Arabidopsis thaliana: one gene and its partners. The protein of the gene in region 4 purifies or fractionates together with the protein of the main gene of each other region. This does not show direct contact. Each region holds a gene or a part of one and is shown on either strand. Other genes may lie near its edges.

Evidence for each region.
Region 1: the proteins of MAC3A (region 4) and AT3G49830 fractionate together in Arabidopsis thaliana (co-fractionation; one large-scale study listed by BioGRID). This does not show direct contact.
Region 2: the proteins of MAC3A (region 4) and AT5G25757 fractionate together in Arabidopsis thaliana (co-fractionation; one large-scale study listed by BioGRID). This does not show direct contact.
Region 3: the proteins of MAC3A (region 4) and AT5G25754 fractionate together in Arabidopsis thaliana (co-fractionation; one large-scale study listed by BioGRID). This does not show direct contact.

The regions. Positions count from the first base shown.
Region 1 is NC_003074.8:18,480,073-18,484,720, forward strand, and holds AT3G49830 (P-loop containing nucleoside triphosphate hydrolases superfamily protein), read left to right. Parts: upstream 1-2,176; 5' UTR 2,177-2,310; coding exon 2,311-3,062; intron 3,063-3,198; coding exon 3,199-3,868; 3' UTR 3,869-3,908; downstream 3,909-4,648. Other genes in the region: AT3G49820 (uncharacterized protein), read left to right, coding at 1,165-1,650; AT3G49840 (transmembrane protein (DUF2215)), read left to right, coding at 4,479-4,590.
Region 2 is NC_003076.8:8,964,185-8,969,562, forward strand, and holds AT5G25757 (RNA polymerase I-associated factor PAF67), read right to left. Parts: upstream 3,457-5,378; 5' UTR 3,277-3,456; coding exon 2,923-3,276; intron 2,792-2,922; coding exon 1,812-2,791; intron 1,721-1,811; coding exon 1,627-1,720; intron 1,535-1,626; coding exon 1,463-1,534; intron 1,376-1,462; coding exon 1,331-1,375; 3' UTR 961-1,330; downstream 1-960. Other genes in the region: PEX4 (peroxin4), read left to right, coding at 3,799-3,804, 3,888-4,136, 4,219-4,348, 4,901-4,989; AT5G25770 (alpha/beta-Hydrolases superfamily protein), read right to left, coding at 5,124-5,228, 5,314-5,378.
Region 3 is NC_003076.8:8,951,281-8,958,045, forward strand, and holds AT5G25754 (RNA polymerase I-associated factor PAF67), read left to right. Parts: upstream 1-2,094; 5' UTR 2,095-2,283; coding exon 2,284-2,637; intron 2,638-2,768; coding exon 2,769-3,748; intron 3,749-3,839; coding exon 3,840-3,933; intron 3,934-4,025; coding exon 4,026-4,097; intron 4,098-4,186; coding exon 4,187-4,231; 3' UTR 4,232-6,059; downstream 6,060-6,765.
Region 4 is NC_003070.9:1,224,687-1,231,686, forward strand, and holds MAC3A (MOS4-associated complex 3A), read left to right. Parts: upstream 1-1,796; 5' UTR 1,797-2,062; coding exon 2,063-2,075; intron 2,076-2,165; coding exon 2,166-2,251; intron 2,252-2,400; coding exon 2,401-2,472; intron 2,473-2,560; coding exon 2,561-2,623; intron 2,624-2,893; coding exon 2,894-2,980; intron 2,981-3,129; coding exon 3,130-3,271; intron 3,272-3,359; coding exon 3,360-3,481; intron 3,482-3,644; coding exon 3,645-3,761; intron 3,762-4,019; coding exon 4,020-4,115; intron 4,116-4,210; coding exon 4,211-4,270; intron 4,271-4,367; coding exon 4,368-4,442; intron 4,443-4,546; coding exon 4,547-4,651; intron 4,652-4,817; coding exon 4,818-4,937; intron 4,938-5,030; coding exon 5,031-5,108; intron 5,109-5,206; coding exon 5,207-5,291; intron 5,292-5,378; coding exon 5,379-5,430; intron 5,431-5,616; coding exon 5,617-5,687; coding exon of another isoform or gene 5,688-5,693; intron 5,694-5,778; coding exon 5,779-5,906; 3' UTR 5,907-6,261; downstream 6,262-7,000.

The DNA of each region.
Region 1 (4,648 bases), on a different chromosome or scaffold from region 4:
TGTTTTTTTCTTGCTTTGTCGTTATGACTTTATGCCATTTTATTCTACCATTTTTGTCTACGCTTTCGTCATTCTCGGTGTTACCAATCGAGCCCATGACATCGGTAAACATGAATACACTATAATGCATTGCCTACGCATATGTTTATCTTTAGTATTTTAGGCTTTAGCTCATTTATTTTAACGTTAAAGAAGTGTGAAACAATCTTTTAATAAATGCAAAAGTAGAAGCACGAAGGAATAAAAAAGGTATATACCGCATTCCTACGCGTATTCTATATGTTTGATTTTCTAGCCATTTTAGCTTTGGACTGTCACGTGAGTCGTGACGCTCTACCCCCTAAATCTATGTCTATAGTAGTATGTACATATCAGACACATGCATGAGGCACCTATATATTTGTAAATAAATTATACACTATATGACGTATGGATTCAATGATACCAAGAGTTTTTGCTTGTAACGCCCAAGATTTTCGAAACCTACAATCTAGGATCTAAATAGTGTACCTCCAGTTATAAATTATATTTGTCGCTCTAGATAAGTTAGAGTAATGGCCAAATCTCGATAACAATTTATTTGTGATCTCCTCACATGAATTTCTTTGGAACCAAATTAATCCCAAACGATAGGATTCAATAATCAGTTAAAGTTTTGTAGTATTCGATAGTGGGTTAGAGTAATGTAGTGATGCAAACAAGAGTGCTAATCTATTGGGTCTATACATTGGATCAAATTTAATATATGGGCCGAACTATCATACCAAGCGTCATGCTTTGAAGAAAGTAGTTGAACCAAGCCATTATACCCTTTTAACTACTAACTAACCCATCTCAAATATCCAGATTTAAATTGGTGTCCATATTATATGAAATAAGTTAAGACTGATTTGCCAACAAGGCAACAACACCTTAATAAATTTAAACATCTAACTGAAAGAAATGTATTTAATCATCCAACTAGGTACATTTAAGAATAGATCACATTCATAATTTTGTTATTATCATTTACAACAGTCATCATGGATTTGTCTTCTCTTTGATCCTGTCTTAGTGTCTTGAAATCTTTGAGCATTTCTTCTTCTTCGTCTCTTATAATATATTTAAAAGGTTATATATTTACATATATACAACTTTGATTTCGATACTCTTGAGAATCCAATAATGAAAGCGAAAGTCATAGAGAAAGAGAACTGCTTCGTATGGTTGGTTAAGGCTCCTTTTCGTCTGTTGATCATGGCACGTGACGCCTACATACGAAGCATTACGTCATGCTCCGGCGCCGGAATTTATTCCGGTGGTGGATCATCTGGTTTTGGTCAACTCTCCGGAAACTTCCAAATCTGCGATCCGCCTAGCACCGCCCTTCCTCGAAGCTTTACCTTGACGTCGGCGGCACATGATCAAGGCTGTCTGACACGTGGCGGACAACCTACGATTGCAATGAGACAATCATTGTCCTTGGATCATCGGAAGAACAATAGATGCGTTGTTGTGATGGGAAGAATAGATGAGGAGATGTCTTGTGATGATGATGATGAGTTTCAAGAAGAAGACTCTTTTCTTGATTATGGTAATTGCGAGATTCTTACAAAAGAAATAGAAAAACCATCTGTTGACCAAAAACATAAGCCTCTAGGACGATTTTGATTTTGATTTTTAGGTTTATTATTAGGTTGTTGCATTGTGCTTATTGAGAAATATGGATCAAACACTTGAAAAGAAAAATCATTTTGTATCATTTAATATTATTTCTTGTATTACTTATAATTGATGTTAAAAAAAATTACATACGATTCTAAAAGTGGTGATGCAAATAATTCACATTGTTTTGTTAACAACCAATGCAGTTCTACATGATTTTAATATCATGAGTAATTTCTAAAAACAAATTACAACAAAAATTAATTTCTTTTAACCACAATAACTTCACAAAATTACAAACATAAAATACAAATTCAAAACCACAAGCACAAAAAATAATAATTTAGAAAGTTTATCAATTACTATTTTTGCTGTAAGAAAAAAAGTTTCTCAATTTTATTTTTGTCTGCAATATCTTTACAGATTCCAAAACAAAACAAAAAAACTATCTTTTTATTTATATATATATATATATATATATATATATAAATGTAAACTTCCTCATAAGTAAATTAACAAGAATATATATCAAACAAAATCTTGTAATTTTTTAATATAAATAAAGCTAAACCTTTACGAAGAAGAAAGACTCTGGTGATTGATTCTCCAAAGTCTAAACCTAGTAAAAGCCAAGTCTCATTCCTCGGGTGAACTCAACAACCGACGATGGCAGAACTAAGGTTATCAGAAACTCGAGACTTAACTAGGATCGAAAGAATCGGAGCACACTCACACATACGAGGTTTAGGTCTCGACTCAGTACTCGAGCCACGAGCCGTATCCGAAGGAATGGTTGGTCAAATCAAAGCACGTAAAGCCGCCGGAGTAACCCTCGAGTTGATCAGAGACGGCAAAATCTCGGGTCGGGCTATACTTATAGCGGGTCAACCCGGAACGGGTAAAATCGCAATAGCAATGGGTATAGCAAAATCACTTGGACAAGAAACACCATTCACTATGATTGCAGGAAGTGAGATCTTTTCTTTAGAGATGTCAAAGACTGAAGCTTTAACTCAAGCTTTTCGTAAAGCTATTGGTGTTAGGATCAAAGAAGAGACTGACGTGATAGAAGGAGAAGTTGTGACGATTTCGATTGATAGACCTGCTTCTTCTGGTGGTTCTGTGAAGAAGACTGGGAAGATAACAATGAAGACGACTGATATGGAATCTAATTTTGATTTGGGATGGAAATTGATTGAGCCATTGGATAAGGAGAAAGTACAGAGTGGTGATGTTATTGTTTTGGATAGGTTTTGTGGGAAGATTACTAAGCTTGGAAGATCTTTTACGAGGTCTAGAGATTTTGATGTTATGGGTTCAAAGACTAAGTTTGTGCAGTGCCCTGAAGGTGAGCTTGAGAAGAGGAAGGAGGTTTTGCATTCTGTCACACTTCATGAGATTGATGTTATTAATAGCAGGTTTGTTTCTTGATCTTGTTCTGTATTTGTCAATTGCTTAGTTTTAGGTTTAGGTTAAAAAGATTGCTTCTTTTTCACGTATTGATGCTTTTTCAAGTTCTTATTTGGATTCTTGTTTTCTTTCTGTTGTTTGCAGGACTCAAGGGTATCTAGCCCTCTTCACAGGTGATACAGGCGAGATTCGTTCAGAAACCCGAGAGCAAAGCGATACTAAAGTGGCAGAGTGGAGAGAAGAAGGGAAAGCTGAAATAGTACCTGGTGTTCTCTTCATTGATGAAGTCCATATGCTTGATATCGAATGCTTCTCTTTCCTGAATAGAGCTCTCGAAAACGATATGTCACCAATCCTGGTCGTGGCTACAAACAGAGGAATGACAACAATCCGAGGAACAAACCAGATATCAGCACATGGGATCCCAATCGATTTTCTTGACCGTCTTCTTATTATCACAACACAGCCTTACACACAAGACGAGATCAGAAATATTTTAGAGATCCGTTGCCAAGAAGAGGATGTGGAGATGAACGAGGAAGCGAAACAGCTTCTGACTTTGATCGGATGTAATACCTCGCTTAGGTACGCGATTCATCTAATCAATGCAGCTGCCCTAGCTTGCCTGAAACGTAAAGGGAAAGTCGTAGAGATTCAGGACATTGAGAGAGTTTATAGATTGTTTTTAGACACCAAGAGATCGATGCAGTACTTGGTTGAGCATGAGAGCGAGTACTTGTTTAGCGTGCCTATAAAAAACACACAGGAGGCTACTGCAGGAGAAGAAACAGAACACGAGGCCATGGAAGTTTGAGAATTTTGTTTTATTGCTTTTTCAAGAACTTATTTTTTCACCCCATTTTGTCATGGACTCATGGGACATGGTTGAACAAAAGATGGAATTTTTCAAGTTTTCGAGTTCTCATTGAGAGATAGACAACGTTTTGTACTGTGTTTTTGACGGAGCGATAAGATGGTATGACAAAAAGGTAAGATTGTGGAGACGTTTGAAGGGTTAATTGGTAAGGCTACCTAAGTTCTCACCTAATGTTTGTATTCAATTGGCTGATTATGGTGGAAAGATGGCGGTTTTGTGGGTCGAACAATCTCCTTGTAGTAACAACGGCTATAAGAATAAGATTTGGTGCGCGGAGATTGCTCTTGAAAAACAAGAAAGTTGTGAAATTTGGGGAGAAGTTGAGTGGTTTGGTCATGTGCTTACAGTTCCTTCAACATGTTTTGTTGCCAAGGTTATTGCTGCTACTGTTTGATGATGAATGAATGTGTCACAAAGCTTAAATATGTTTTTTTTTGGTGTATGCAGATATGATGATGACATGGCTTAATTTTGTCTCTTTTATTTATGTGACTGCTTTTACTTTCGTACGATTTCTTCATCCAAAAAACAAAACCCAGAAAAATCGATGAGTGACTCATCATCAGTCATTGTCCGAAGCTCAAATTTCATTGTCGTGATTCTCTTCCTCAACCTCGTCACTTTCTTCTCCCTTGTCTCCTCCAATGAACTTGTCTTTGGTAAGTTTGTGTCGGAATTGAATTATACTTTTAGGGCTTTCTTCAATTCTTTATGGGA
Region 2 (5,378 bases), on a different chromosome or scaffold from region 4:
CTAATTCTAATTACTTTAAAAAAAAAAATCTTAAGACATTATTAATATTATACTTTAGTAAAAGATAAATTTTATAGTTATTTAGAGTTTATTAAACATTTAGATATATTGAAAGTTTATTAAAAGATAAATTTATAGTTATTTAAAGTTATTGATACACAACAAAGTAAAAATAACTTTCAATATTTTTATTAAAGTTTGCAATAATAAAATACTAACGAAAAAATAACAGCTAGTGTTAACGAAAAGTTACGATGAAAAGACACTAAAGAAAAGTTGCGAAAAAGACACTATCAATATTAGCGGAAAGTTACAATAAAAAGATACAAAAAAAAAATAATCGTCAATATTTAAACGGAAATTTGCGATATATGAAACACAACCGAAAAACAACCGTCAATATTATAACGGAAAGTTGCAATAAAGAGATATAACCAAAAAAAAATAACCGTCAATTGTTTTACGAAGTTACGATAAAAAGACAAACGAAAAATAACCATCGATATTAACAGAAAGTTACGATGAGAAAACACAAATAAAAAGTAACGATAAAAAGACAATAAAGAAAAAAATAACCGTCTATATAAATAGAAAGTTATGATAAAAAGACACAAACGAAAAAAGTAGTTATCCCCACCAAAAAATAACTGTTAATATTAAAATGACTGATACAAACGAAAAGTTGCGATAAAAATGTACTAAAAAAAAAAATAACCGGCAATGTTAGCGGAAAGTTACGATGAAAAGACATGAACACATAAATAATCGTCAACATTTTTAACTAAATGTTGTGATAATAAAATACAACCGTTCAGAACAGCAAAACACAATTTTTTGGATTCATCATAAAACAAATAATTTGTGGTAAAAGACTTTACGTCATTTGTTCTCTTTTGGTTTTTTGTTCACCTGTTTGTTTGTTATAGAAGAAAGTGACTTTAATGAATTAGCGATGAAACAATTATAAATGATTCGATGACACTACAATTTCACTATTGTTGATGAGATTGAGACAATCATATAATTTTCTAACAGAAGAACAAGAAAGCTTGCACATCTTAAACGGAAAAAGTTGTACTACTGAAGACTAAACTCGTCGTTGGCATATAGAAACAGGACAAATAGTTCGAAAGGAACTCGATCAAAAACTGAACTGCCATACTCAATATGAAAAAAAAAAATGGCAATAATTCAAAACAAAAATGATTTATGGTTGAAATTTGAAGACAGTTACTCAAAAAGTGTTTGGCTCCAGGTAAACTTATGGTTTATAAGAGAAAGCATCATATCAGATTGGGCATTGATAATTAGGTGTAACACAGAAAAGTCGTCATTCCAGCTTGACACGATCCATGTCGTTGATCACACCTTCAAGCTGCGCAATGGAGGAAAAAAAAGAAGAGCCAAAGATCAAAACAAGAGTTCATGTGCACTAGTCTTAGTTTCAGTTTATACAACATACCTTGGCAATCTGCCGCAAGAAGAAATCACCATAACGTTTTGCGGGTTTTGATTCGACAACGTAGATCATGTCCTGCAGTGTCACCAGGTTTAGAGTTGTTACAAACGTTGTAAAAGCACCAGAGTATAGATATCAGAAAGACAGAGAGAGAAGAAAGAACATACGTTGTTGATGAAGAAATCAATGTCTGCATTGGAGATGATCCTACCATCGGAATCAACTGAATGGGTCTTGTGCTTGTATGTTAACAATATGGTCCTGCAAATTAAAACCCCGTACATGTCAAAGAAAAAGAGAGAAGTAGATTTGGTAATAATAGTTATAAGAATGCCCATAGTTAGTCCCTGACCTTAGAGTGGGCTCATCAACTTCCATGTAGTTTGCGAGCTTAGCAAGAGAAATGGAGGAGTAGACTTTCAGGAAAGTCCGCACTCCCGACAAGAGCTGCTGCTGCTTTACCTCGTAAAGGAACATCTTCAGCTGAAGCCTGTATGCATCCTGATTGTAATTGACAAGAGGTTCCTCGAAAGTTGGTGGTGCGGAAGGGGTGATAAACTTGGGGCATGCGTAAGAGAAGAGCTCATCATAAATACCAAAGGCCTCGTCGTCAGACCTCAGCATCCTCATCATCTTTTCACCATACTTGTCTCGCAGCTGAGAGTTGACAGACTCGTCAACGAGTTTAGTTTGAGGGCAGAGGGAGAGGGAGAGAGCAAGCAAAGCGTACATCTGCTCATTCTTCTTGAGTAATTGCTCGTACTGAGGTGACTTTTGATGGTACTGCTTAGTCTTGAAAATGTAGAGGAGAATCTTGTTGAACTCACGAACAGCATCGACATACCTCCGCAACATAAGGGTGGCAAATCCATAGTGGTAGATAGTAGCGATATGGCAACCAATGACACTGGTGTAAACACCTGGCTGAGTGATGTCAATGGGCTGCAACCATTTGAGAGCAGTGTGGTAGTCACCGAGGAGGCAGTGAACACGCAAGAGACCGACCATGCTGAAGTAACCGAGGACCTTCAAGACGTTGCTGCCACCGCTGAAATCGTAGCCATCAGTCTCAGTGAACTCAAGGCCATCCTTGTCATGCTCAAGGATCTGGATGATACAAGACTTCTCCACAAGTGCTTGCAAGAAGTTGAGCACGCCATAGACATTCCAGGCCTTATCGTGCTGTCTGAGCAATGCAATCTCCTCCTCTGTTTTGTTCTTGAGCTTTGCTCTGAATTGACAGAAACTTTGGAACTGGTAGACAAACTCATCCACCATATCCCACAACCACTGGTTCGGCAACTGCATATTCACTACGCCGTGCAACACAACCTAGAAAGAACAAACGGAAGAAGGTCTACTTACTTGTATTTATTCCCAGCCAATACATACACAAAAGAAATCAAAATCAACAACATCTCTATCTAACAAGGAAGAAGAAGTAGAAGAATTCCACAACAGACCTGAAAGAGGCTGCAATAGTTGTCATAAGAATCAATCCTCTGCTTCAACGTCGGAGACAACCTCGCATACAAATGTCGAAACCACATCTCACGGTACAGAAGACAGAACACATGGTCGTTGTCTACGTAAGGAGCAATCGCTTCCACACTTGGCCACGGCGTGTCCTTGAACAGACGCTCCGATATGCTCTGGAACGATGTCTCACACATCTGGTGGATCTCGTACACGTTCTTATCCCTTATGTGTCTGTACATGTGTGACACGAACGACTTCACCGAATCCGGCACCATATTTGGGTCGTACCCACTCTCCCTCTCCCCCGGACCTTCCTCATACTCATTGCTGCTCGCCATTCTCGCCGGATCAATTCTTAGCGGCCGCAACAATGTTAGCTCTTAACTCACTACCACCGCCTAGGGTTTCCTTATTACCACCGGTTCTATCATCCGGTTTCGTTTCCTTATTACCACCGGTTCTATCATCCGGTTATGTTTTTTTATAAAGTCATTTTAATAAAACTTTCTATGGTTCGGAAAAAAAAAACTTCACATAATCATCGCTATTCTCTCTCTCTCTCTCTCTCTCTCTCTCTCTCGCTCTCATATTTGCAGGTAAAGCTTCGTTGATTCGTCCTCTTTATGTTCAATTATAGTTTCGCATCCCTCCTATGTCTTTCTTTCTAGATCTTAAAGCAGAGTCATTGCTTAACCCTAATTATCACTGTTCTTGTATAAAACACTTTTCACCTAATCATTGAGATTGTTACGGGATCTGATAATTGCGTCTGTGAATTACAAGAAATTAGGGTTTATTTCTTCTTGATTTTAGATTGATCTTTTTGCAGTTGACAATTCGTTCTCTTTGGGAAATTAGAGATGCAGGTAAATTGCTTAATTTTTTTTTTGTTTTGTTGCAAATTCTCTGTGTATGTTTATGATTTGATTTGATTTGATTGATGTAATAGGCATCAAGAGCGCGACTGTTTAAAGAATACAAAGAGGTACAGCGAGAGAAAGTAGCAGATCCTGATATTCAATTGATCTGTGACGATACCAACATATTCAAATGGACCGCTCTTATCAAAGGACCTTCGGAGACTCCTTACGAAGGCGGTGTTTTTCAGCTTGCTTTTTCTGTTCCTGAACCTTATCCTTTGCAACCTCCTCAAGTTCGATTCTTGACCAAGATATTCCATCCTAATGTTCATTTCAAGGTTTGCATCTCTTTTTATAACAACCTTCTCCTGTGATAAAAGGAAACGCAGGTTTTTTAGTTAGTACTTGGGAATTTTGTAGACAGGAGAAATATGTCTCGACATTTTGAAGAATGCTTGGAGTCCTGCTTGGACGCTTCAGTCTGTGTGTAGAGCTATCATAGCATTGATGGCTCATCCTGAGCCGGACAGTCCTCTTAACTGCGACTCAGGTACAAAATGCTAGTTTAGTGTTTTCAAAAATGTAACCATGGGCGTTCGGGTATTCGGTTTGGTTCCCGTTCGGTTCTAGTTCGGTTCCGATTCTTTCTGTTCTCGATTTTAGGATCCATATAGGAACCGAAACAGTTTCAGTTCGGTTCAGGTTCGGGTTCGGTTCTGAAGTTTAGGATCCATTAGAATATTTTATTTCGAATATTTCAGATATTTTTTGTCTTTTTTTCCGGATATTTTGGTGTTTTTATATATTTTTCCTTATTTGGGTATTTTTGATTATTCAAACTAAAAATAACTAATATCTTTGGATATATAATCATATTTCGGATACGCAAAATATTTTGGTTCGGTTCGGGTTCAGTTCTAATTACTTTGGTTCTAGAATTTAGGATCTATTTGAGTAGTTTACCATTTCGGGTCGGATTCGGGTTGCTTCAGTTCGGATTCGGTTCTTTCAGTTTGATTATTATGCCCATGCCTAGTTTTTATAGTAAGCAACTGTTTTTTTTTTCTACTGACGCTTTTGTTGTGGTTGCTATGGAAAAAAGGGAATCTTCTAAGATCTGGTGATGTGAGAGGGTTCAATTCAATGGCACAAATGTATACACGCCTCGCCGCTATGCCTAAGAAAGGATGATGATGATGATGATCCTCTTGCTTTTTTTTTGTTTTTTTTTTTGAAATTTGTAATGATATTGATTTGCGAGAGTGAATACATTATTAACGAGAAGAAGATGATTCTTCTTTATTAGTTCACAATATTACAATCTGTCAAGTTGTCATATCTTCTTGTTTAAGGAATTTGTCAAACCAGTCTGATGATTCTTTGATCATGAAACTCGTCGCTTCGTGTCCAACTCCATCTTCTGCTTTGAACTGCTCTCTCGAAACATCAAAAGTTTTTCTTTTTCAATTCTCTATCTGGTTGCAATAGTGTTTAAAGGTTAGATCAGTGATTTACCTTGAAGTTTCCAGGAGAAGCTGTTTCCTTATACGCCTTTTCAGCTCTCTTTAACGCAAGTTCTA
Region 3 (6,765 bases), on a different chromosome or scaffold from region 4:
TACTTCTGCGTATGCTTAGTGGCATTGGTAAACCAATGAGAGTAACATAGACAAACTAGCGACAGAATTCTATAGCAAAGACTACTCACAAAGGCTCGGTTTAGAGACCGTTCTTCAGTTTTTTTACAAGGATATTTTGTCAATCTATCAATCGTTTCATCTACCTTGCATTCACTGGACAGCTAGTATGTTCCTTACACGAAAAGTTTTGTCTCGTCATTTTTACGAGGACTTTTTAACGTCTTGATCCATAGATGCCGAAGGAAATTTGCTGAGAAGCCAAACTAAAACAACCCCAACAAGAGCACCAGAGAGATGCGCAATGTGATTAACAGTTTGTAAAGAGTATCCACCATATATAGTTCCTGATAATCCAGCCGACGCCTGAGCTGCTTCCATTACCTATTCAGATCAATTAACTAAACAGTTATCGTCCCTGAATTCGAAGAGCTTCTATATTGCATACATCATCAGACATTTTCTCTCATATATTGTATAAAAACCTCATTATACTCATAAGAAGATGGGACTGTAAGCCGGAATACGGTTATAACGGTAGTGATGCTGTGAGTAAATTTTGAGAAAATCTTACCCTCTCAATAACGAACTGACCCAATATAAGAACTTCAAGGATTTTCCTCCAATCCCAAGACATCTAGACAATCAAAAGAAGTTGAATATTAGCAAGATATTACTGAGGAGTTTGATTTACAAGGAGAGAAGAAAACTACAGTACCTTGACGAGGACACTGATAGCAAATAACCCAAAAACAGCTCCCGAGGCACCAACAGAAACAGCATTTCTCGGTAAAACTAACCAAGAAACAAGGTTAGCTCCAACACCAGTGAACAAGTAGGAGAGCCACAAACCAAAGTTTCCTTCTTCTTCTTCAACAAGCTTTCCTGATTCCCAAATGTGTCCATTAGCTCTCTGAATCGATAAACTAGCTAGAAATTCAAACTATGAGAAAATCTTGAACTCTCACCAAATATGTACAAGAAAAAAAGATTGCTGGAGAGATGGTTCCTAGAATCATACATGATACATAAAAAAAAAACCAAGAATCAGGAGAAACATCAACATAAGCCACAGAGAAAAAAACTATCATAAGTGTTGTTCGTTTGGTAGTCACAGGATGCCTGCGACTGCGACTGAAAGTTGATCGTTTGACAGTCGCAAGATCCTGCAACTAATCGCGCGATCAATCGCTGCGGCTTGCGACTGAATTTTTTGATCGCATGAAAAAAGAGCGACGCGGCTTTTTAAATGGCGATTAATCGCAGCGATTGGTAAACGAACAACATCCTGCGATTTTAAAATCGCAATCGCAATCGCAGCCACAGCCACAGCCGCTAGCGATTATGAAACGAACAGTGCCAAAGTAAAAAAGAAAGAAGAGAGCTCTCTCACCAGTTAGCATGACAGAATGTAGCCGTCACAAACTGATACCATGCCGGAAAATTGTGATACAAATACAAAGATTTGATCCCACGAACCTAAATCGAATAAACAATATAAAACGTATGATAAGATAAGCACGTCACAATCCAAAGAGATGGGATTACACGAATAACGTTTTACAGTGTAGATGATTGATATCTAAAGACAAGCTTTCATACCTGAAAGAAGTGATCAGCAAGATATATGCCCAGATTGATAAGTATGATCCAAAATATGCCATTTGCTCGCTTTTGTGGTTTTCGATTGTCTTTTGCTTTATCCAATTCAAATTGTGGCGTAATATCTGCAAAACTTACAATGATTTCGTTGAAGATGAAGAAGATGTTGCTAAGAATCTAATACAATCACTTGGAATGTTTCATTAGATCGAAAAAAAGAAAGAAAAAACGATAAGTCTCACCGGATTGGCTGAATCTGCAAGTTATTTGAGATCTAGAGACTGTGAGAGGACGAAACTGCAGGGGGGGTTGAGTTGAGTTAGTTGGCGACGAAGCTGCACGTCGGCGATGTAAAGGCGGGAATCTGAAACGAAGAGATGATTGTGGAAGAGAGAGACGGTGAAGGTGAAGAAGCTGAGACATTGAGATTTGAGAGAGAGTCAGAGTACACAAAATTAATTTCGATTCAGTTTTGGTCTAATTCGGTAAAATAGATAAACAACCGAAAAATAAATCGAGATATAAACAAACCGGTGGTAATCGTTCATTTAGTAGTAAAAGCAAACCGGAGGATAGACCCGGTGGTAATAAGGAAACCCTAGGCGGTGGAAGTGAGTTGAAGAGTTAACATTGTTGCGGCCGCTAAGAATTGATCCGGCGAGAATGGCGAGCAGCAATGAGTACGAGGAAGGTCCAGGGGAGAGGGAGAGTGGGTACGACCCGAATATGGTGCCGGATTCGGTGAAATCGTTCGTGTCACACATGTACAGACACATAAGGGACAAGAACGTGTACGAGATCCACCAGATGTGTGAGACATCGTTCCAGAGCATATCGGAGCGTCTGTTCAAGGACACGCCGTGGCCAAGTGTGGAAGCGATTGCTCCTTACGTAGACAACGACCATGTGTTCTGTCTTCTGTACCGTGAGATGTGGTTTCGACATTTGTATGCGAGGTTGTCTCCGACGTTGAAGCAGAGGATTGATTCTTATGACAACTATTGCAGCCTCTTTCAGGTCTGTTGTGGAATTCTTCTACTTCTTCTTCCTTGTTAGATAGAGATGTTGTTGATTTTGATTTCTTTTGTGTATGTATTGGCTGGGAATAAATACAAGTAAGTAGACCTTCTTCCGTTTGTTCTTTCTAGGTTGTGTTGCACGGCGTAGTGAATATGCAGTTGCCGAACCAGTGGTTGTGGGATATGGTGGATGAGTTTGTCTACCAGTTCCAAAGTTTCTGTCAATTCAGAGCAAAGCTCAAGAACAAAACAGAGGAGGAGATTGCATTGCTCAGACAGCACGATAAGGCCTGGAATGTCTATGGCGTGCTCAACTTCTTGCAAGCACTTGTGGAGAAGTCTTGTATCATCCAGATCCTTGAGCATGACAAGGATGGCCTTGAGTTCACTGAGACTGATGGCTACGATTTCAGCGGTGGCAGCAACGTCTTGAAGGTCCTCGGTTACTTCAGCATGGTCGGTCTCTTGCGTGTTCACTGCCTCCTCGGTGACTACCACACTGCTCTCAAATGGTTGCAGCCCATTGACATCACTCAGCCAGGTGTTTACACCAGTGTCATTGGTTGCCATATCGCTACTATCTACCACTATGGATTTGCCACCCTTATGTTGCGGAGGTATGTCGATGCTGTTCGTGAGTTCAACAAGATTCTCCTCTACATTTTCAAGACTAAGCAGTACCATCAAAAGTCACCTCAGTACGAGCAATTACTCAAGAAGAATGAGCAGATGTACGCTTTGCTTGCTCTCTCCCTCTCCCTCTGCCCTCAAACTAAACTCGTTGACGAGTCTGTCAACTCTCAGCTGCGAGACAAGTATGGTGAAAAGATGATGAGGATGCTGAGGTCTGACGACGAGGCCTTTGGTATTTATGATGAGCTCTTCTCTTACGCATGCCCCAAGTTTATCACCCCTTCCGCACCACCAACTTTCGAGGAACCTCTTGTCAATTACAATCAGGATGCATACAGGCTTCAGCTGAAGATGTTCCTTTACGAGGTAAAGCAGCAGCAGCTCTTGTCGGGAGTGCGGACTTTCCTGAAAGTCTACTCCTCCATTTCTCTTGCTAAGCTCGCAAACTACATGGAAGTTGATGAGCCCACTCTAAGGTCAGGGACTAACTATGGGCATTCTTATAACTATTATTACCAAATCTACTTCTCTCTTTTTCTTTGACATGTACGGGGTTTTAATTTGCAGGACCATATTGTTAACATACAAGCACAAGACCCATTCAGTTGATTCCGATGGTAGGATCATCTCCAATGCAGACATTGATTTCTTCATCAACAACGTATGTTCTTTCTTCTCTCTCTGTCTTTCTGATATCGATACTCTGGTGCTTTTACAACGTTTGTAACAACTCTAAACCTGGTGACACTGCAGGACATGATCTACGTTGTCGAATCAAAACCCGCAAAACGTTATGGTGATTTCTTCTTGCGGCAGATTGCCAAGGTATGTTGTATAAACTGAAACTAAGACTCGTGCACATCAACTCTTGTTTTGATTTTTGGGTCTTTTTCTTTTTTTCCTCCATTGCGCAGCTTGAAGGTGTGATCAACGACATGGATCGTGTCAAGCTGGAATGACGACTTTTCTGTGTTATACCTAATCATCAATGCCCAATCTGATATGATGCTTTCTCTTATAAACCATATGTTTACTTAAAGCCAAACACTTTTTTGAGTAGCTGTCTTCATGTGGTCAAATGATAACCATAAATCATCTTTCTTATGGATTATTGCTAGTTTTTTTTATTGAGTATGGCACTGAAGATTATAACCAATCTCGAGTTTCTTTCGAATTGCTAGTTCAAAAACATTGAAAGTATTCAAGGTTATGAAAATTTTAAGTCACCACTACTTGCCAACAGAATGGTTTTAAAGTCAAAGTAGAATAAATTGCTATTTGACTTTTATGTATCATAGTAACTACAGGTCTGTTCTTCGTTCTTGCTGATTACAGAATACACAGGAGTTAATCTTTTTCATCATCTTCCAAAACTATTCGACGTATACATGGTGATAAGTATCAAGCCACCAAACTCTGATTAACTTATCGCCGATCAATGTACAAACCAAAGGAGACGCCTAACATATCATCTTGGTTAGCTCATCATCTACCATTCTCACGCAGAAGCTTCTACATCAATCAGCATAAAGAATCTCTAAACAATGAGATCATCTATATAAGCAGCAATCCCCACTTGCATCTATTGCAGATATTATTCTTTTTCTTCTAGCATCTCGTCACACGTGCATATTTCTCCCGCACATGTGCTCTCTTATCACATGGTTCCCCTGCTGGATTGCTTCACCTTCAAGTCATACGAATACGTTGTTTTCTTTTGAAACGTTGCGGCAACAAAGCAACCGTACGCTTGTGTCTCCCGGGGATGTCTTCGAGCTTGGTGATAATAGGTTTTTAGGGTATCAATTCCTAAAACACTATCATATCGTTGTAATACTTAAGGTTGTCAATCCAATCTGGTGTGATGCAAACAGATGAGATATAATCAGAATTTACTAAGTCAAGCCAAGCAGAGAGTTGTCAGTTTCTAATAATCTTAATGTCGATTAACATAAATGAAATGAAACTAAAATGTGAAATGGCAATAGCAAGTAGATGAATAACAAAGCAGATGAGATAACAGACAATCAAATGGATAAAAGATTCCTAAGGATGAAGTAATCGAATAGCGTGATCTCCTTAATCTATTAAGATGGTTGATAAAACTTCACATAAGTTATCCCTACAACAAGTTCAGTAACAGATTAATTCACTACCGTGATAGAAATCCTCAAGTAAAGCTAGACACTGACCTAATCACCATTAGCGATCTCTAACTAAGCAGGCAATATCAAATCAACTTGTTAAAGCCAATACACGCTCTAAATGGCAATTGCCTTGGGATATAGACGAGTATCACTGCAATTAGTAGATCCGACATTCCATCGAACACTTTTTGAGTGCGGGAATGTCATGATTCATGTTCGAGTTGATCAGAAAGAAACAAGCAATAAGCGCAACTAATCCAGAAGAGATTCAAATATTCTAGACTCAACCAATGAAATTGGACATGGTGGATTTGGTAAAAGTCTATAAGGACCGTTAATATTGAGATTTTGAAATGTGAAAAAGTAACCGTCAATATTGAAAAAGACGATAAGATTCGGATTGAGATTTTGTCAAAAATAGTTTGATTCGTGAAAGATTTAAATTCGAACGCAAATTGTTTACCGGCCAATTTAAAATATTTTTGATTTTCATTAATTTTTATGTTAAATTTTAAAATAGAATAATTATAATAAAAATAAAATTTTAAATTTCTAGACACCATAAACAAATATGTTAATAAAATTATTTTTATCCAAAATTATAAAACTAATGTCATATAATCTAAAGATTAATAATCAATTGAGATGGTAAAGTAAAATTGGAATTTTATTTTTGTTGTGGGATCGAAAATAACAACATTTAATTATTTGGGTATTAAATTGCACATTTTTATTACTTTATTTTTTCCCAACCCAAAATTGGGAATTAAACGTCCAAATAAAAATTAGTTAAAATTTTTTTTGGGTTTTTTCCCTTTTAGAAAAGGTTTTTTTACCCCATTTTTATTCGAGATGCTTGACAATTTCATAATTGTTTAATTATTTATATATGTCAAAGTTTTCTAAAGAAGGAAAAAAATCAGAAATGCTATTAGAACATATTAGAGCAAAATATGTAAAAAAAATTGAAAGAACAAGAGCAATTAAGGGGGAAAAAACAAAAATATAATTGCATATTGTGGAATTAAGGAAATGAAAAGGAATGGAATTTAATTTAGATCATGAGATGTGTCAAATAATACTTATCATATTAGTTTTTTTTTACTAATATTTCGATCCACATGTGAACATGTGAGAGCAAAACATTATTTTATCTTTTTTTGTAAAGATAATAATCAACCAATGGAAAAGGGGATAAAAAACAAATTAAAGCAATTGGTATTTTTTTTTGCTAAACATGTCATATATAAAACGAATTAAATTGTATAGTGTGGATTATAAAATTTCGCTAAAGAGTTGTAGATATTTTAAAAGATACGCATAAACGGAATTAAGTAATGGAGTTT
Region 4 (7,000 bases):
TGGAGAAAATAGTCCCACCTAAGTGATGACTTGGTTGACCGGTAAAGGAGTTTGACCCAATTCTTTTTGTCGCGATGATTTTTGACTTTCTGACTGAAACTTGTGCTAAATTAAGCCTTCTATTTATAGAATTTGGCTTTTCTATTTTATTTTTAGCAATTTAATTTTTCATTTTCTATTTATTTACTTGGTTGGGTTTTTTAAATGCTGGTAAGAAGTGGAAAAGAAGAGAAGGAGAAAAAGAGACCAGGTCAGTGAAAATTTTGAAAATAAGAGATAAAGATCGTACTAAGTCAAATGTATTTATTTTATGGAAATTTCGAGGGGAAAAAAAATGTTACGTGATGCTTAGTTAAATTCGGAAACTACAAATTTCATATCAAGATGGTTTCTCTCGATAAAAATTCGTTACAGTGATAGTTTTAGCATACCATGCTTCGAGTTGTCGTTTTCTATATATGTTGTTTTCCTTACAACCATAACCAAATAATGAACTGATCATACAAATGAAAAGATACTTTTATAGATCGGAATATATATCGACTTAGATAACGTAAATAAAGGTACACCAATGTGATTTATAGATTATATAGTCATCAACACCATATATGAAACTTTAACAAAAAAACACCATATATGAAACTACAATTTTTTACGAACATGGTCTTACCTTTATTTTATCTTTTTTTTTCGTATAAAGAATTCCCAAACTATGAAAAAATGTCAGCTAGGTGAATAATCTAACTTTCATGGACTATTACTCAGCTAAGTTCAAAATATCCCTTCACTTCAAAACTTCTAAAAACAACTTTCATTGACTATACGCATTAATTAATTACTATTGTAATTACGACGATTTTTTTTTCGTTCTCCTCTAGCTTTTTTTAGTTTATTTGTTTTGGTCATGGTTGGGAACGGGACATCATCACATCACTTATCAACATTCTATTTGGTCCCCAACTCTATGAAGCATTATTTGAAATCATTAGCATGACTATCTAAGTTTTTTTTCTCCTGATATTTATCCAAAATTTTATTTCATTCAAATTGTTTAACAATATGTACATATACTATATGTATTATATAAAATACATATCACCACTCAGGCAATTTTTTAAACTTATATACAGTATGTGATAAAATAAACATGGTCATACGTTTAAGAATTGGAAATTAATGAGGTTGCAAGAAATCATTTAACGAGAACAGAATGAAGAGAAAGAAAAAAATAGCAACTTGGTGGCAAAAGGAAAAAGAAACAGCTTGAGATCAAAGCTGATTTGATGAATCGATACTTTGGAGATATATATGAGCATCTTCGGCAAAAGCTTTGGCCTTTGAGTGCAGTGTTACACACACGCATTTTCCAAACGAGATGATTTAAGTTTTGCAGAGCTATCACAAATATATTATAATACCAAACTCTCAGACAATATTATATAAATCGGAAGTCTAATTTTTTTTAATAAAAAATGAAAATATAGTATGACCAATGATTTGTTCATATAAGGTTCTTTTTTCGGCTATGTTAATTGTTGAGAAATGAGAATACTAAATATGCTTTTTATGAGAATACTACTTTTCGGCTATGACTAATTTTTGTTCATAAAGAACACATCTATCGTACGTGCAAATAGAATGGCCCGTACATCGTTGTCCTACCTTATACTTTAAAAGAATTTGTAATCAGAAAAAATAAAAGAAAAGAATGACAAAAAAAAGGGTAAGAATTATACTTTCGAGTTTCTTTTCTCAGACAGAAAGAATGAACGAACATACATAGTTTAACTAATGGGCTTCAGAAAAAAGCCTAATTAGTTATAAATCAAGGTCTCGTTAAAAGGCCCATTTGTTTAACAAGAAATCTCTAACTTGTTGTCCTAAGCTTAAACAATTTTTGCATCTCTCTCTCTTTCCGTCTTCATCGTCCTCCCGGCTTCTGCGATTTTGTTTAGTAGCGCCGGACCGGAGTAGTTAAAACCCTAGCCCAGTCTATTTAAAGATTCACCGAGTAGTCTTCTAGTCCTGCGTATACTTCTTCTTCTTCGTTTATACTTAGAAGATGAATTGTGCAAGTAAGGCACTCTTTCTTCTCTATTTACCGATTTAGGGTTTTATTTTGCTTTGTTTCTGTCGGTAACACTGTGGTCTTTTCTCCTCTACAGTTTCCGGCGAAGTTCCGGAGGAGCCTGTGGTTTCTAAGAAGTCGGGTTTGCTTTACGAGAAGCGGCTAATCCAGACGCATATATCCGTAAGCAAGTTCTTTTCTTTTCTCCCTCGTTCGACTCTTATCTAGGGTTTTCAGCTGTTTAGCCTCTTGCACCTCTCTATTTGCTGCAGATATTTTCTTAATACAGACTTTGTTGTGATAATTTATAGATTGCTTTTGGTACCTTGTAGGATTATGGGAAATGCCCGGTTACTGGTGAGCCACATACTCTTGATGACATTGTTCCCATCAAAACTGGGAAGGTAATGCAACCACTGGAGTTATTTGTCACACAGCATTGTTTGTAGAAACTTATTTAAGCCTGATTCGATCTCCGGGACCATTTTGCAGATCGTAAAGCCGAAACCATTACACACAGCTAGCATCCCTGGATTGCTTGGAACGTTTCAGACTGTAAGTTCTTATTTTGTATTCCCTATACCTTCTTTTTCGTTTCTGAATTTTGTTCTCTGTCTATTAAGGATCATATAGAGTTAAAATGGATGAACTTGATTTGGGTATGCATCGCTATCTGAGTTATTTAACATAGCAGATTGCATTCTACTCTTTACATTGAATTATATGTTCATTTGTTACTAATAGCAAGACGAAAGTGTTCGCTGGTTATTTTTACTTTAGGCAAAAGAAATGCTTAAAAAGTTTATCTGTTTGTTGTGCTTGTAGGAATGGGACAGTTTGATGCTATCAAATTTTGCTTTGGAACAACAACTGCATACTGCGAGGCAAGAGCTAAGTCACGCTTTGTATCAGGTAATTATGGTTAGGTGCATTTGCCACCACCTTATCAGACTACATGAATTACAAATATCTATTATGTATTCTAGTTTCTTTTCCTGGATGTTTCCATTTATTTCTTGTGATAAAAGGTGATTGATGGGGGATACACTTTTCCTTTGCAGCATGATGCTGCTTGTCGTGTGATTGCTAGGCTTAAAAAAGAAAGAGACGAATCACGACAATTGCTTGCAGAGGCTGAAAGGCAGTTGCCTGCAGCCCCCGAAGTTGCCACATCGAATGCTGCTCTTAGTAATGGTAAACGAGGTATGCTTGCACGTTTGCTTCTCAATGTAAGTTGGCTATGTGGTAATTTCTCTTATAACAAGCTACTATGTTTTTGGTTGCAATATAGGTATCGATGATGGTGAGCAGGGGCCTAATGCAAAGAAAATGCGTCTTGGAATTTCGGCTGAAGTTATCACAGAACTCACAGATTGTAATGCTGCTCTTTCTCAGCAGCGTAAAAAGAGACAGGTAACTGCATATATCAGTATATTAGTGGAAATAGAAGGCAAAAGAGAATTACATATATATATAGTTTGTCTGTAACATACAATGGATATCTGCACTTTTGGAGTTCAATTAGATTTGCGAGTGGTTCTTCTGTCTTAATAATTTCTCCTCATTGGTTCTCTAGATCCCTAAAACATTGGCTTCAGTCGATGCTCTGGAGAAGTTCACCCAACTCTCAAGCCACCCCCTTCACAAGACCAACAAACCTGGAATTTTTTCAATGGACATCCTACATTCTAAGGTTTGACACCTAAGAACTTCTCTATTTTCCATTCATCACTTTATGTAGTTTTTCTCTGTCCTGAGAAGTCACTGCATTGAACGTCATAGTGACATGTTTACTTTTGCGCTTACATTATATTGTACACTGCCATGAATCCCCATCTGGATGCTTATCAATATTATTCTTCAGTATATAGATTTTGTACACTACCATGAATCCCTGTGTCTGTTCTCTATTTAGTATTATTCTTAATTTCTCGTTATATGTGGTAATCAGGATGTCATCGCTACGGGAGGAATTGATACAACTGCCGTTCTCTTTGATCGTCCTTCAGGACAAATCTTATCAACGCTGACTGGTCACTCAAAGAAGGTCTGTCTTTTACTGTATTCTTTTTTTATATTTCATTTTCTTTTTTAACTTTTCCTTTGTAGTTTTGTGCTTGACATGCATTGTTCCTTTTGCAGGTTACAAGCATCAAGTTCGTTGGTGACACTGATCTTGTGTTAACTGCTTCATCCGACAAGGTAAGCTAAGGTTATGTGTACAAGCTCCTTTGAGGATTGCATGATTTTATGGAGTAGTAGTGAAGAGATTAACTTCTCATTTCTTAACACTCTGCAGACAGTCCGCATCTGGGGATGTTCCGAGGATGGGAACTATACCTCTAGACATACACTGAAAGATCATTCTGCCGAGGTAAGGATGTAACTGAAGAACTTCTACAGGCTACAGTCTCATACAGTTTTACGTTTTATTTATTTTTGGTCTGTTTAACGTAAAAGCAATGATGTGGTTTTCAGGTGCGAGCTGTAACTGTCCACGCAACGAATAAATACTTTGTGTCAGCATCACTTGACAGTACATGGTGCTTCTATGATCTGTCCTCCGGTTTATGCCTTGCTCAGGTCTCCAAAATTTTAATCCACACCTGATACCTGTTATCCAGTTTCAGATTTCTTCTTTTATGCTAATATAACAATGAAACATTTACCTTCTTTATTGTAATGTGAATTAGACTCGTTAGAATAAATGTTTCTGCCATGCGTCTTTCTCATTATTGTTGTTATTCAGGTGACAGATGCTTCCGAAAACGACGTGAATTACACGGCTGCTGCTTTTCATCCTGATGGTCTCATTCTTGGAACTGGTACCGCTCAATCTATTGTTAAGATTTGGGATGTAAAAAGTCAGGTAAAAACTCTTTGACCTTCCTTGCTCATCAACTGTTGTCACTTGTAAGTTTGTTCTCACTTCACTCTCATCTCTATCTCTGTCGTTTGATAGGCAAATGTGGCAAAGTTTGGTGGACACAATGGAGAAATCACCTCTATATCATTCTCTGAAAACGGTTATTTCCTTGCGGTGGGTACATTGACTGATTGACCTAAACTAAGTAGAAAGAAGGATAGCACCAGGTTCCTTTTGACTGACCAATATTTACTATTCTTTAAATTGTACAGACTGCTGCACTGGATGGTGTTAGGTTGTGGGACTTGCGCAAGTTAAAGAACTTCCGAACCTTTGACTTTCCAGATGCAAACTCGGGTATTCAACTACCTGAGCACTCTTACTAGTCTATTTTGTTGAGTGAGTTTTCATTTCTTAAGGCCTGAATGAGCTTTTTTTGTGCAGTGGAGTTTGACCATAGCGGATCTTATCTTGGCATTGCTGCTTCAGATATAAGGTGAGGTCTACTTTGATACACAATGTTGGGAATTAATTGATATAGGAGCTCACTTTGATAACGAGATATTGAAAGATAGTTGTGCAAACTCAATTAACCTGCTATCACCAGAAATGCAGTTTGGGTATATGTATACGTTTCTTCTGCAAATCATACTAATCGAAAACTTGTGCTTCAATGTTGTAGAGTATTCCAAGCAGCTAGTGTAAAAGCAGAATGGAACCCAATCAAGACTCTTCCCGATCTGTCCGGTACAGGTAAATGCTACATGTTAAGCTTTTGAAGTCACTGCTCTTCCTTGTTTTATTGAGTCTATCATTCAGACATTGTAACTACATAAATGTGCAGGTAAAGCAACAAGTGTTAAGTTTGGACTCGACTCCAAATACATAGCAGTCGGTTCAATGGACCGTAATCTCAGGATATTTGGTTTACCTGATGATGACAATACTGAAGATTCAGCACAAGATTCATGAAGAGATATCTCAAAAGTCTCATCATCAAGAGTAGCTATATCCTCAATTCTCGCGATTTTTGTTGTATCTTTACAGTTCTGTTGGTACTTTCCTGATGGCCCCTCTCACAATCACATATACACACCTGAGCTCTCTCCCTTTCTTTCTCAGTCAACAATTTTCCTGTAACAACATCGTACCTTAAGGATCTGCAGTTGATCTTTCTCTCTTTGATCTGAAAGAGTCCACATAAAACAAAGTTAGCTGCTCACTATAAAAGCAAATGAAGAACAGGCATGTAAATGATCTTCTTCATCATTCAAATCAGTAGGACCTAAACGGCAACAATTAAAAAACTTGTGTTATATAGAAAGGGTCATGAATCTTGAAGACAATGAAATGAAGACAAAAAGATTGTGATGGTGGTCATAGAAATTAGAAAACCCTGAGACAGACAGAGATTTTGACTGTACTGTGGTCAAAACACACACTTCACAATCTTCCCATTCCCCCACCAATCTCAGATTCCTTTTCACTTCCTCCAACTCTTTCTCTCTCTCTGGCCTTTTTTTTTTTTTTTTTTCCTATTTATAGCTCATCTTTAGTAATTCCGTTATTGGTTAAATTTCCTAAACATGTTTTTGGTATCAACAATCAAGTAAGTGCAAGAAAGTTTGTATCTTTCTCTAAACCCAATTTCCAAAGTAACCAACTACTAAACCAGAATGTTACACAAAGTAAGTCACTAAATGACTTTAAAAACAAGATTAGACTTTAAACTAGATTAGAGACATACTTATTTGGAATAAGATTCAAAGGTCACTAGTAGCTAGTAGGTGGTAAAAAGGAAGCTAAACAACAAATAAACTCTTATTAAAATCTTTCAATCAATAAATATTTATTGTAATTTGCTGCAGTAAATCAAACATTGTACAGTTTCAGAACTGAATGGCTCAGAAGCGTTAAAAGGAAAAAGAGACTCTCTCTCTCTCTCTCTCTCCCCTAATCTCCTCTCACATGGTCATCAAAAGCCAAAGCCAAAGCCAAAAAAAACAAAGAACCCAGAAACCTAGAAGACAGAAACAAAAATCAAAGCTTTACTGAGCCACCAAGCA